Linked DNA regions of Caenorhabditis elegans. The protein of the gene in region 1 interacts with the protein of each later gene in a pairwise test. Each region holds a gene or a part of one and is shown in the gene's direction. Other genes may lie near its edges.

Region 1 (3,756 bases):
CACAATTTGTGGAGCAACAACTGGAGATTGGCATGCTGATTGGCATTGCTGACATTGTGGAGCAGCTGGTTGCTGACATTGTGGAATACATTGTTGTTGGCACTGTTGAGTCTGTTGGCACGAAGTTTGACATTGTTGGCAAGCTGGTGCAGATGGAAGTGTGCATTGTGGAGCACACTGTTGCTGGCAAACTGGAGCATACTGCTGGCAAGTATTCTGGCACTGCTGGCACTGTGGAGCTGATGGCTGTTGGCATTGAGGAGCACACTGTTGTACGCATTGTGGAGCTGCTTGCTGACAGGTTGTCTGGCATGGTTGAGTACATTCCTGATAGCACTGTTGAACTGGAACTTGTTGTAGAAGACATTGTTGTTGACACTGTTGTTGGCATTGTGGAGCACATTGAGCAGAGATTCCCAAGTTGACATTGATGACTTGTGGAGCAACAGTTGGAGCACATTGTTGAACACATTGCTGCTGACATTGTGGTTGACATTGTTGAATTGGTTGAGCTTGAACACATTGTTGAGTGCACTTTTGTTGGCATTGTGGAACACACTGGACTGTGACTGGAGCTGGAGCAACACAGGATTGTTCACAGGCTGGCATGCAAGATGGTTGACATTGGACTGGAGCTGGAGCAGCTATTTGAGTATAACAGGAAGACGTCTGACAAGTCTGCTGGCATGAAGATTGACACTCATTCATAGATGGAGCAAATTGACATTGGTTCTGGCAAGACTGCTGACAAGCTGGAGCACATTGAGAAGTTTGCACTTGGTAAGTTACTTGCTGAACTGGTTGGGCACATGAGCAGGATGTCTGGACTGGAGCAGTGTTCTGACACGAACAACTGTACTGTTGTGGTTGAGTTGCTTGTTGGCATGAACAACTTGGTTGAACTTGTGAAGCACAACCACATGATTGACGTTTATCACGAATTGATGTTGCCTGGAAAAAACTTCTGTGAACTTGGAAAACAAGCATTTTGTTGCTAACATCGATTACGTCCAACAAATATTTGTAAGATGTGGGCACTTAGAAAACTAGACCGTATTATCAAGAACATTTTGAAAAAACTGTACATGATGAATTTTTCATCAAGTGATGGAAAATTGTTGTAGTTAATATAATATTTTTAATTATTAATAAACCGAAATACTAACTGAAAAAGTTTAGAAATGTCGTGCCATTCTAAAAGTGAAAGTACAATGAAACTTTATCAAACCTCGATAAGCAGACAGCTGGAAGCAAAGAGAGCTACAAATACGATGAAACGCATGATAATGGTTGAAGAAGCAGGGCTTGATGATTTCCACAGATATCAAGGCTTTATATACCCCCTCAAACACTGCTTGCGTACGATTATAGCAATGTAAAAAAATAGTGCCGGAAAAAATAGTCCAAGAGTTCAAGTCTTGTAATTTCGAATGGCTATTGTGAGAGCAAACAAAAAGGTGTTTCTAATAATGAGTGGCGTCAAAAGGCAATAAACAATTTAAAATCGTTTTGTCGAAATCCGAACTCTAAAGTTCAACAGGTAACCCTTTCATTACTTTTCTGAAAATGTAAACGAAATTTTTTGGTACACATAGTTAAGCGGAAACTCGGCGCAATCCAAAAAAAAAACACTGTATCAGTGCAAACGCGCACCCAACCTCTTTTTGATCTTTGCAACTTGCCGTGCCCTCAAGAAATAGTGTGTGTAAGACTGGGAGGCGACGAGCGTGTTTTTTGGTTCATTTGCCATGTTATCATTGTTATGTTTGCGCTGAGCATGAAGCCGGTTGATGGATGGAGTTTGATAAGTGGGACGGAACTGTTTGATGGCTAATGAAACAGGGTTGTAGGACGTTGGTATAAAAGTCGGAAAAATTAAAACAAGGGCATCAATTGTCTCTTAGCAGCTCTTCAATCATATTGACAATGCGTTTTATTACAATTGCAGCAGTTCTTCTTGTTTCTAGCCTTCTTATTGTTGAGGTACGATTTGTATTACTGTTGCTTCACTTACTTTCTGAATTATCTGTAGAATTAGTTAACAATTTATATGTACACCTTGAAACATTATATTATTTCTAGGCATCTTCAATTCGTGATAAACGTCAATCATGTGGTTGTGCTTCACAAGTTCAACCAAGTTGTTCATGCCAACAAGCAACTCAACCACAACAGTACAGTTGTTCGTGTCAGAACACTGCTCCAGTCCAGACATCCTGCTCATGTGCCCAACCAGTTCAGCAAGTAACTTACCAAGTGCAAACTTCTCAATGTGCTCCAGCTTGTCAGCAGTCTTGCCAGAACCAATGTCAATTTGCTCCATCTATGAATGAGTGTCAATCTTCATGCCAGCAGACTTGTCAGACGTCTTCCTGTTATACTCAAATAGCTGCTCCAGCTCCAGTCCAATGTCAACCATCTTGCATGCCAGCCTGTGAACAATCCTGTGTTGCTCCAGCTCCAGTCACAGTCCAGTGTGTTCCACAATGCCAACAAAAGTGCACTCAACAATGTGTTCAAGCTCAACCAATTCAACAATGTCAACCACAATGTCAGCAGCAATGTGTTCAACAATGTGCTCCAACTGTTGCTCCACAAGTCATCAATGTCAACTTGGGAATCTCTGCTCAATGTGCTCCACAATGCCAACAACAGTGTCAACAACAATGTCTTCTACAACAAGTTCCAGTTCAACAGTGCTATCAGGAATGTACTCAACCATGCCAGACAACCTGTCAGCAAGCAGCTCCACAATGCGTACAACAGTGTGCTCCTCAATGCCAACAGCCATCAGCTCCACAGTGCCAGCAGTGCCAGAATACTTGCCAGCAGTATGCTCCAGTTTGCCAGCAACAGTGTGCTCCACAATGCACACTTCCATCTGCACCAGCTTGCCAACAATGTCAAACTTCGTGCCAACAGACTCAACAGTGCCAACAACAATGTATTCCACAATGTCAGCAACCAGCTGCTCCACAATGTCAGCAATGCCAATCAGCATGCCAATCTCCAGTTGTTGCTCCACAAATTGTGACTGTCATCCTAGAACCTTCAGTTTCTCAATCTGCTCAATGTGTTCCACAATGCCAACAATCATGCCAACAACAATGCATTCAACAACAACAACCAATGCAGCAATGTGCTCCAGCATGCACCCAATCATGCTATCAATCGTGCTCTACTGCTCAACTAGTCCAGATGCCATGCCTCACTCAATCAGTCAACTCCTGCTCTTGCCAGCAAAACTATTCTCCGTGTGGAAATGGACAATGTTGCAAGAGAATGTAGTCATCCAATGTATAATTGTGACACCAGTTATGTGTATATACAAGACAATACTTCTTTATACTTTTTTAATAAATAATATTGATAACTTTAAGTTTTTACTCAAATTTAGAAAAAAAAAAAAAACTTTGACCACTGAGCGGATCGAACGCCCAACCTTTCGATCTGGAGTCGAACGCGCTACCATTGCGCCAAGCAGTCACATTTTCCTTTGTCATCTAGTGCAATGACACGAAAGGGGTAGAGAGAAAGGAGAGAATAAGGAGGGGACATATGGCGGTAGAAAAACCGGTGACGGACTACTCTCTTCATCGTTTATCACATATTCTGAGTGTTTGTTTTTTCAAATTTAATGGAGGAAATAGATAGAATAGTGAGGAAATGAGAATGTTATTGATTTTCATGGCGGCATTGGTGTGAAACTTGTTGCTCCTACTGACGCGATTGTGCCAACTCTTGACTGTTTAATCT
Region 2 (3,756 bases), on another chromosome or scaffold:
TCAAGGTATCTTTAATTTTTTATGTAAAGTAAAAACAGTTAGTAATGTATTTTAAAGTTTAAAAAAATTAATGAAAACAAATGTTTGGCATTTGGCAAAAAAGCTTTTTAAAAAATATTTCAAAAATGATAAAAAATAAGTGAAAACAAAGATCTAACGATTATTTTTTGCGAATTCCATAAAATTTCTGAAAATATAGAACACAATTTTATTGGCCTATATCTAAAGTATTCGTTGAAAGACACAAAAATGTACCTATCGACCGCAATTTATTTTGTTGATAATTTGATAGATTGGAAAAATTGTGAAAACGTGCCACAGTTGAAAGTTTTATAGAATTCCCAAAATTTAATACCACTGGCTCATAATCCTGAAAATCAAATGGAAAAATGAATATTAAAAAAAACTATTTGAAAAAATTAAAAGTCTTTTCTTCAAGCCTAAATAATTTTTAACTGAATTTTTCAGGCCAACTTCTCAGAGAAGATCATCGAACGCTAGAAGAATATGGTCTTCAACCAGGAAGTATAGTTCATTGTCATATTAGTACAACACCATATACACGACCAGGAATAGCAACTCTTCCTCCAATTGTCAATAATGGTTTTCGACGAAGACCTCGAAGATCCGTCAGAGCTCCACGTGACACAACTCCAATGCCGTCGGAAAGTGTTCCAGTAGTTGATGAGAATGTTACAACAGCAAGAAGAAGAGCTGCGCAGGACAGAAATGTTGGACAGATCTATTTACTTTTATCAACAATGGTTCCAATTCTTTCTGGAATTGGATTGGCATTTTTCCGTCCTGATCGAATTCGAGATCTACTTCGGCCAGCCACACTTCTGACGATTAGCCAATGGGTATGCAATTTACTTGTTGATAATGGATTGTTGGAACAAGATGATGATGATCAGGAAACTCATTTGCAAACTTCAACATTATTTTGGATTTTTGGAGGTGATTCTAATTTTCAAAAAAAAACACGTCAAAACGCAATATTTATTACAGGTCAAATGGTCGCAGTGAGCATATTTCTGTACTACTTTCCAGATGTATTTGATCGAGTCGGCTTTTCGATCTTCATTATTGTATTTCTTTACTTCGTTTTTGTGGTTTATTCACGTCAGCGACGACGCCAACCGGATCCTGTTGAGGTTCAAAATGAAATGATGGAAAATCAAATCGTCCAGGAGACTATTCGTCTTCTGTAAATTTTAATTTATATTTCACAGTGAGTTTTTATTTATTAGGAAAAATAAATTAAATTTACTTCAAAAAAACTTTTTAATTAATTGAAAACGAAAAAGTTATGAATTTATTTTCTTTTGAAAAAAGCTTTCGAAAAAAAACCAGAAATATTAATTTTTGCTTTAAAATTGAGTTTCGATTAAAAAGCTAACAAATAAATAGTTGTTTTTATTCAGCAATAGATTTTTCAATTTTCAGATTCTTGTACACTTCAAATCGAAACCATTATGATTCTAGCCACAACAAAATTGCACACAAAATGGGTATCAAAACACTTGGTTTTTTTTTCAAAATTTTCCACTTGAAACGGATCAGACAGAGGATGAGAAGATCCAAACATACACACATCGAATACTGCGAAATTTTATTCAATAATTCTTATTCCCCCCACCCCGTCCGTGTGTTCTGTGTATATTTGACTCGGTTCTTGTTTTTCATCTTTCTTTTGCATCATCATTAGATACTTCACTAGTAATAAATTGGTAGCTTTTATACAATTGTGGACTACAAAAAATACAGTGCTAAAGGATGTTTGATTGTAAACTTCGAAGAAGGCAGCAGCACAATTGAGTTGAGTAAATATGGAGAAAAGTTGGAGGCAAATAAACCCTTCAAGACCCCCTTTGGATTCACTTTTCCACCCAGATAGATAGTTGCTCCAACATTGAGAATAATGGTAAGGCTACCACCTCCAACGCCACCACGGAAGCCTAATATATGTGGGACATCTGGAAATTCAAATGGAATAAATGAGAATATTGGTAAGTTTTTTTTTAAACTTTATGCTGATTTTCAGATGTTTGTGAGATTTTTAGAGAAATAATTAATTCTAAAAATAATTTCGATGTATTTTTAAATGAAAAAAAAAACCACTTTTCGAAATTATAATTTTGAGATAAATTTAATTAACCTGAAAGCAGGATCTGCGAGCGAACGGCAAAATTCGCAAAAATAGGCGGTAGGCAGGTATGTAGGCAGTAAGGCTAGAGGCAGACACGAAAATGTAAATTCCTACGGCAGCTTTATCGGAAAAGTTGAGACGACTAATTTTTTAATAGTGATAAAGAATATGTGCCTTTCAGGAGTACTGTAATTTTCTGCAACGAAAGTCTGAAATTACAGTACCCCTTAAAGGCGCATATTCTTTTGAATCCAGCAAGCATTTGTCGTGTCGAGACCAGGCATCTATTTTTGGCATATGGGTAATATAATTTGATAAGTTGGAAAATATTGAAATTTTTTTTAAATTTCATTAAAAAACATTTGCTGTCACAATTACCACAAAATTTCCACATATTGTTCATAGATTTTTCGTTTTGGAGCCAAGAAAAGGTTCTCGCACTTGTCAGTATGTAGATAATTATAGGAAATCTTGCAATATACAGTGTGGGAAAGTTCTATAGGACCCCCCCTAATTTGAAGGTTTGAGGAACTTCCGAAAATTTTTTCGAAAAACTGCTAATGCCGTTCGTTTTTAAATTGAAAAAAACCTATATACATTTTTTTCCAGAAGTTTATCTCAAAAACTGAGGTCGCGCTGGAAAAAACGTCAAAATCCAGTGTGAAACTTCTATAGGACCCCCCGTTTTTTTTCACGATTTTTACTAAAATCAACAGATTTTGGAATTTTTGACAAAGCTCAAATCAAGTTTGAGTTAGAAATGAGTTCAGATAAGCAGTTTTGACTTTAAAAATTAATACGAAATGTTCTCGTGGGATCTCCAGACTGGTTCTGATTCTTCCGATCTTTGATGTTCAAGTCTGTTTCAAGCTTCCTGGTGCTCTCGGTAATGCAAAAACTTGATAAACTCTCTTTAACAAGTTCCTACTAAAATTCCTAGCACGCACTTTAGATGTTTCGACTGTGTAGTCAAGCTGATTTGGCAAAATATGCAGCAGGAAACAATGGAAGGCTTATCAGGAATCAAATCGTTTTTCTTTGATTACAAGGTTCCATGGGACCAATATTTCAAGTTAAATTGTCCCTCACAGATGTTATTTACTATTTTTTGCGTGAATTATTAAATGTGGAATTGTGGCATGTGTTGTGGCACACATATAGAGGCTGGAAAGCTTACTTCGAAAGCAGTCTAACTTGCAATGCCTCGAGGATCTGCCCTTTCGGACACTGAACGCGCTCAGCTGGATGTTATGAAATTGCTCAATGTGTCCCTGCATGAAATGAGTAGGAAAATTTCCCGTTCTCGACACTGTATTCGCGAGTATCTGAAGGATCCGGTGAGCTACGGTACATCTAAAAGAGCTCCTCGTCGCAAAGCTCTCTCCGTGCGTGACGAACGAAATGTGATTCGTGCTGCCTCCAACTCCTGTAAGACGGCAAGAGATATTCGCAATGAGCTTCAATTGTCTGCTTCAAAAAGGACCATCCTCAATGTCATCAAACGATCTGGTGTAATCGTTCGTCAGAAACTTCGCCCTGCTCCGTTACTCTCTGCAGACCATAAACTCAAGCGATTGGAATTTGCTAAGAACAATATGGGAACGAAT
Region 3 (3,756 bases), about 11 Mb from region 1:
CTTCAACGGGTCGTATCTTCGTAGAGCATGCTTCAGTCAACAAAATTTCCAATTGACGAAATGTGCAAAATTACACGGGAAAGATTTTTGTAGTTGTCAATTTTTTGATATCTCCTTTCTCCGTTGAGTTATTTGAGTTTGAAAATGGCTGGGTCTGTGACGAGTTTCTTCAGACATTGGCTCTTTTTTGAAAAAAACTGAACAGTTGAAGAGCGGTGCTTGTAAAAATACTTGAAAAATATTCTCATCTCGTTTGCACCATGTCGCTTCAAATTTTAAGGTTTTTGGCTTTTTTTTTGAACAATGTGAACTTCTACAAAAGCGGGCATAAATCAATAAAAACGCCGTCTTCAAAAGTTTATAGCTTATTTAAAATCCAAACGGGACCCCAAAACTCTTCGCTCTTCCTTAGCTCAATCCAGGTAATTTATCTCCATATCCCCAAACAAAATTGAGCCATCAAGCGAAGAGGTGTAAAATTGTGCAATGCTCAGGGTATTGTGCAATTTATTCGAAATCTTTAGCAGAAGAAAACGAGAATAATGAGTTCTTGCGAGCCATTCGGATATTGGTCATCGCCGGGCAAGCCGGAGCAGCTGCTCTCGCCGCGTTCCGAAATTCCATCAGGATGACAACGTACTAAAAGAGCATTGTACGAAAAAAAACACGGAGAAAATTTGTGGCAGCACACACAAAAACACAACAGCCGCATAAATTTCTCTCCATTTTTTGTCTTCTTCGTTTCTTTCGACACACAGCTGATTTTACACAGAACATCAAAAAGTGAGGGTGGATAATGATGATATGGGCGGAGATGAAGATTTTGTAGTTTTGGGTAAAAAATAGAGGAAGAGAAGAAGATGAAGCTCAGTGTTTTTGGTTTTTTCATCTTTATCTCATCTTTTTTTGAAAATTAGTTGTCGGCAGAAAGCAAATGTACTAATTGAGTAGAGGATTTATGAGTTTTAAAAGTGAAAAAATATTAGGCTACATTTTCTTTTCCTAGAGGTTTGAAATAAGCCTACCACAAAAAGGCCTGCCTACCTTCAAGCCTATGCTTGGTACCTTGACGTTCCGCCTGGGCGCCTCTAATATGCCTTCCATTTGCCTCTGGACACTTATATCTTTTTACCTATATAGTTTTCGGTCGTTAGTGTATAACTCAAACTGTGCTACGTGTGTAGGCAGACGTAGCCAGCCTTGTAGGCAGGCAGGCTTTATGGTTTACATATAATCCCAACTTTAACAAAAATTAGTTATCTTTCTAAACATAAATTAAGCGAATTCGTGCTCTCATTCATGTATATTAAAAGCCCTTGGCACTCGTAGCTCAAAGCGTCATGCGTGTAGGCAGCCTTGTTGGCAAGCAGGCAGGCAGGCATCCATTTTTCTGCCTACACAAAATGCCTCCTATTGCACAAAAATGCCTGAAAAAGATCAACCGGTTCATCGTTCCCGTTCATGTAAGAGGTCTCAAATCGCGAAACTTTCCCTTCCAGTTTTTATCAGAAAAAATCTGAGCTTTGTTAGGCCCGAAACTCTTTGCAAAACTAAAAACTCAAATTCCATAAATCACAATTAAGCTGTTTCTCTGCTATTTTGTATCTGCTCAAAAGTCGGGATTTGTCATTCGAGAACTCGTGAGAACCTCGCCGCCCAATTAAATTTTTTGAGTATACTATGGTCTTGTGATCAGTTTTTTTGGACCAAGTCTAAAGTACATATATTTTTAATTTTATGCGGCGCGTGTGGTAGGCCTTTTCCAAACCTCTGGTGACTGAAAATTCAAAAAAAGAAACCGCAAAACCAGTAACTTGTAGTTTTAAAACTCTAACCTGGAACTTTGCGTCAAAAAACATATCAAAAACAATCCAGTAAAAGACTTTAAAAACCAGGACACATTTTGCACAGTGATTGACAGGGAAGTTGATTGTTTTTCAAAAATCGTTGTTTTTTTTCTAGAATATAAAAGTATATAAACCTTTAAATTTTGAACTCTCTCCAATCCATCAAATTTCCAAGTTCTCAAGTCAAGAAATACTCAATCAATCTCTCTTTGCAGGAAACATTGTGTGTGTGTGAGCAAAATGGAGTTTAAAGTATCATCAAGCCAACGGTGTTCATCTCCTCCTTGGTTCCTCCATCACCACCTGACCACCACTGCTGGAGGAGCCTCTCGTCCTCTTCCATTGCATCACCGATCGCACTCTGCTTCCACCCCCACTACCACTTCATCCATCACCGCATCACCGTCCTTATCTCAACTTCCTCCTCACCAGCCCTACCATCTTCATCAACAACAGCAACATCATCAACAGTTGCACAAAACCATGACAAGTGCACTTGAGAAATGTACATCTTCGCTGTCTGAAATACATAGATTATTAAGAGGTACGTTTTTATGCAAATGTTTGGAGTTATTGTGTTTGTGAGTGCTGTGGTTTTGACTTCTAAAAATGACTTCCAATTTTTTTTTTGAAATTTATTGTACCGTCAAACAGTAGTGAAAACTTGGTTATCATAATTTTGGAAGTCATATATTTTTTCTTACGACTTTTTCATACTTCAATTGCGCTGCGTTCAAAGTGTTGCTATTTGAACATTCTAGATTTGAACATTCTGAACATGCAGAAATTATAAAAGTTCTTTAAAAATTATAAATGTTTGGAGGATTCGGCAAATTACCAAATTTCGATTGAGTTTTGAAAACTCTTTTTTGAAATGTTTTATTATGCCCCACTTTTAAGGATACTATTCCCATGGATACTCGGAAATTTATGTAGTACTTGACAAAAAACTGAACTAAAACCTCCGAAGTTTTTTTTTTCAAAAATATTGATCGTGTTTCTTGATCTGTGTCATTTCAAGAGTGTAAAATTTCCTGCAAAATGTTATAGCAAAAGCCCAACGGTTCTTCAGATATGAGCTCAAATTGGAAATACATGATTGATCGGCAGCTTCGGCTTAAGTTATACAAAATTTTCCATGAAAAAACGAAACATACACCACCAAAATTCAAAATCAAATTAGATTTATGTTTTGAAAAATTTGCTGCTATGGCAATTTCTCTAATGCTCTCATAATTGTAATTAACAAAAAAAAACGTTTTTTTAACGTAAATAAATGAAAAAGATTTATTATACACGTGAACTTGAAATAAAGACGTAGTTCAATTAGTTGCATTTTTAAAATTTCATTCCACTGCTATTATTCTAGACTTTGCGGCATCCATAACTAGCGCTTTCGAGCCCTCGTCTTCTGGTAAATCTTGGGTTAAAACTGGCCAAGGCCGATCCAACATCACACCAGCTTTCCGGGAGGGTCCATTTACCATGAGTGTAGAGCTTGGCTACAAATTAAATTAAAAAACACACATGTTATATTCCACCATACCAAAGAGAAAAGATGGTTGTTCAGTTCTGTCTTCTGGGCGTCCGCACCTAGCACCAAAGTTGGTAATACCGGCGTTGTCAAATTTTTCGGAATCGATTTTTTCTGTGATTCCAATGATAACAGATCCTTTGGGACACCATTGAATCGATCTCCAGTATCCATATGGCGAATCATTGTAAATGACAATTTTGTTATCGATGCTTAGGGTATCTGAATTAGAAATTGAATTAGCTAGTTTACCAATTAGAATAGTTACTTCCGTCCGGTGGATTGCAGAAAAAAATCAGTTCAGTGACACCATGATCTAGGCTCAAAACGCCTCGTTTCGTTTCAAGTTTGAGTTGGAATCCGTTGATGACTGAG

What was found.
Region 2: the proteins of pqn-90 (region 1) and B0303.7 interact in a two-hybrid assay, tested with the Caenorhabditis elegans proteins (one large-scale study listed by BioGRID).
Region 3: the proteins of pqn-90 (region 1) and F19C7.8 interact in a two-hybrid assay, tested with the Caenorhabditis elegans proteins (one large-scale study listed by BioGRID).

What each region holds. Positions count from the first base shown.
Region 1 is NC_003282.8:15,289,433-15,293,188, reverse strand, and holds pqn-90 (Prion-like-(Q/N-rich)-domain-bearing protein), read left to right. Parts: upstream 1-1,926; coding exon 1,927-1,983; intron 1,984-2,000; exon of another isoform or gene 2,001-2,022; intron 2,023-2,052; exon of another isoform or gene 2,053-2,082; coding exon 2,083-3,288; downstream 3,289-3,756. Other genes in the region: pqn-91 (Prion-like-(Q/N-rich)-domain-bearing protein), read right to left, coding at 1-951, 1,229-1,282.
Region 2 is NC_003281.10:8,691,734-8,695,489, forward strand, and holds the start of B0303.7 (SH3 domain-containing protein), read left to right. Parts: upstream 1-1,888; 5' UTR 1,889-1,921; coding exon 1,922-2,009; intron 2,010-3,756. Other genes in the region: B0303.4 (transmembrane and ubiquitin-like domain-containing family 1 protein), read left to right, coding at 1-5, 469-957, 1,009-1,211.
Region 3 is NC_003282.8:4,636,427-4,640,182, reverse strand, and holds the start of F19C7.8 (SH3 domain-containing protein), read left to right. Parts: upstream 1-2,087; coding exon 2,088-2,391; intron 2,392-3,212; coding exon of another isoform or gene 3,213-3,349; intron 3,350-3,393; coding exon of another isoform or gene 3,394-3,603; intron 3,604-3,649; coding exon of another isoform or gene 3,650-3,756. Other genes in the region: R105.5 (Vitelline membrane outer layer protein 1), read right to left, coding at 3,213-3,349, 3,394-3,603, 3,650-3,756.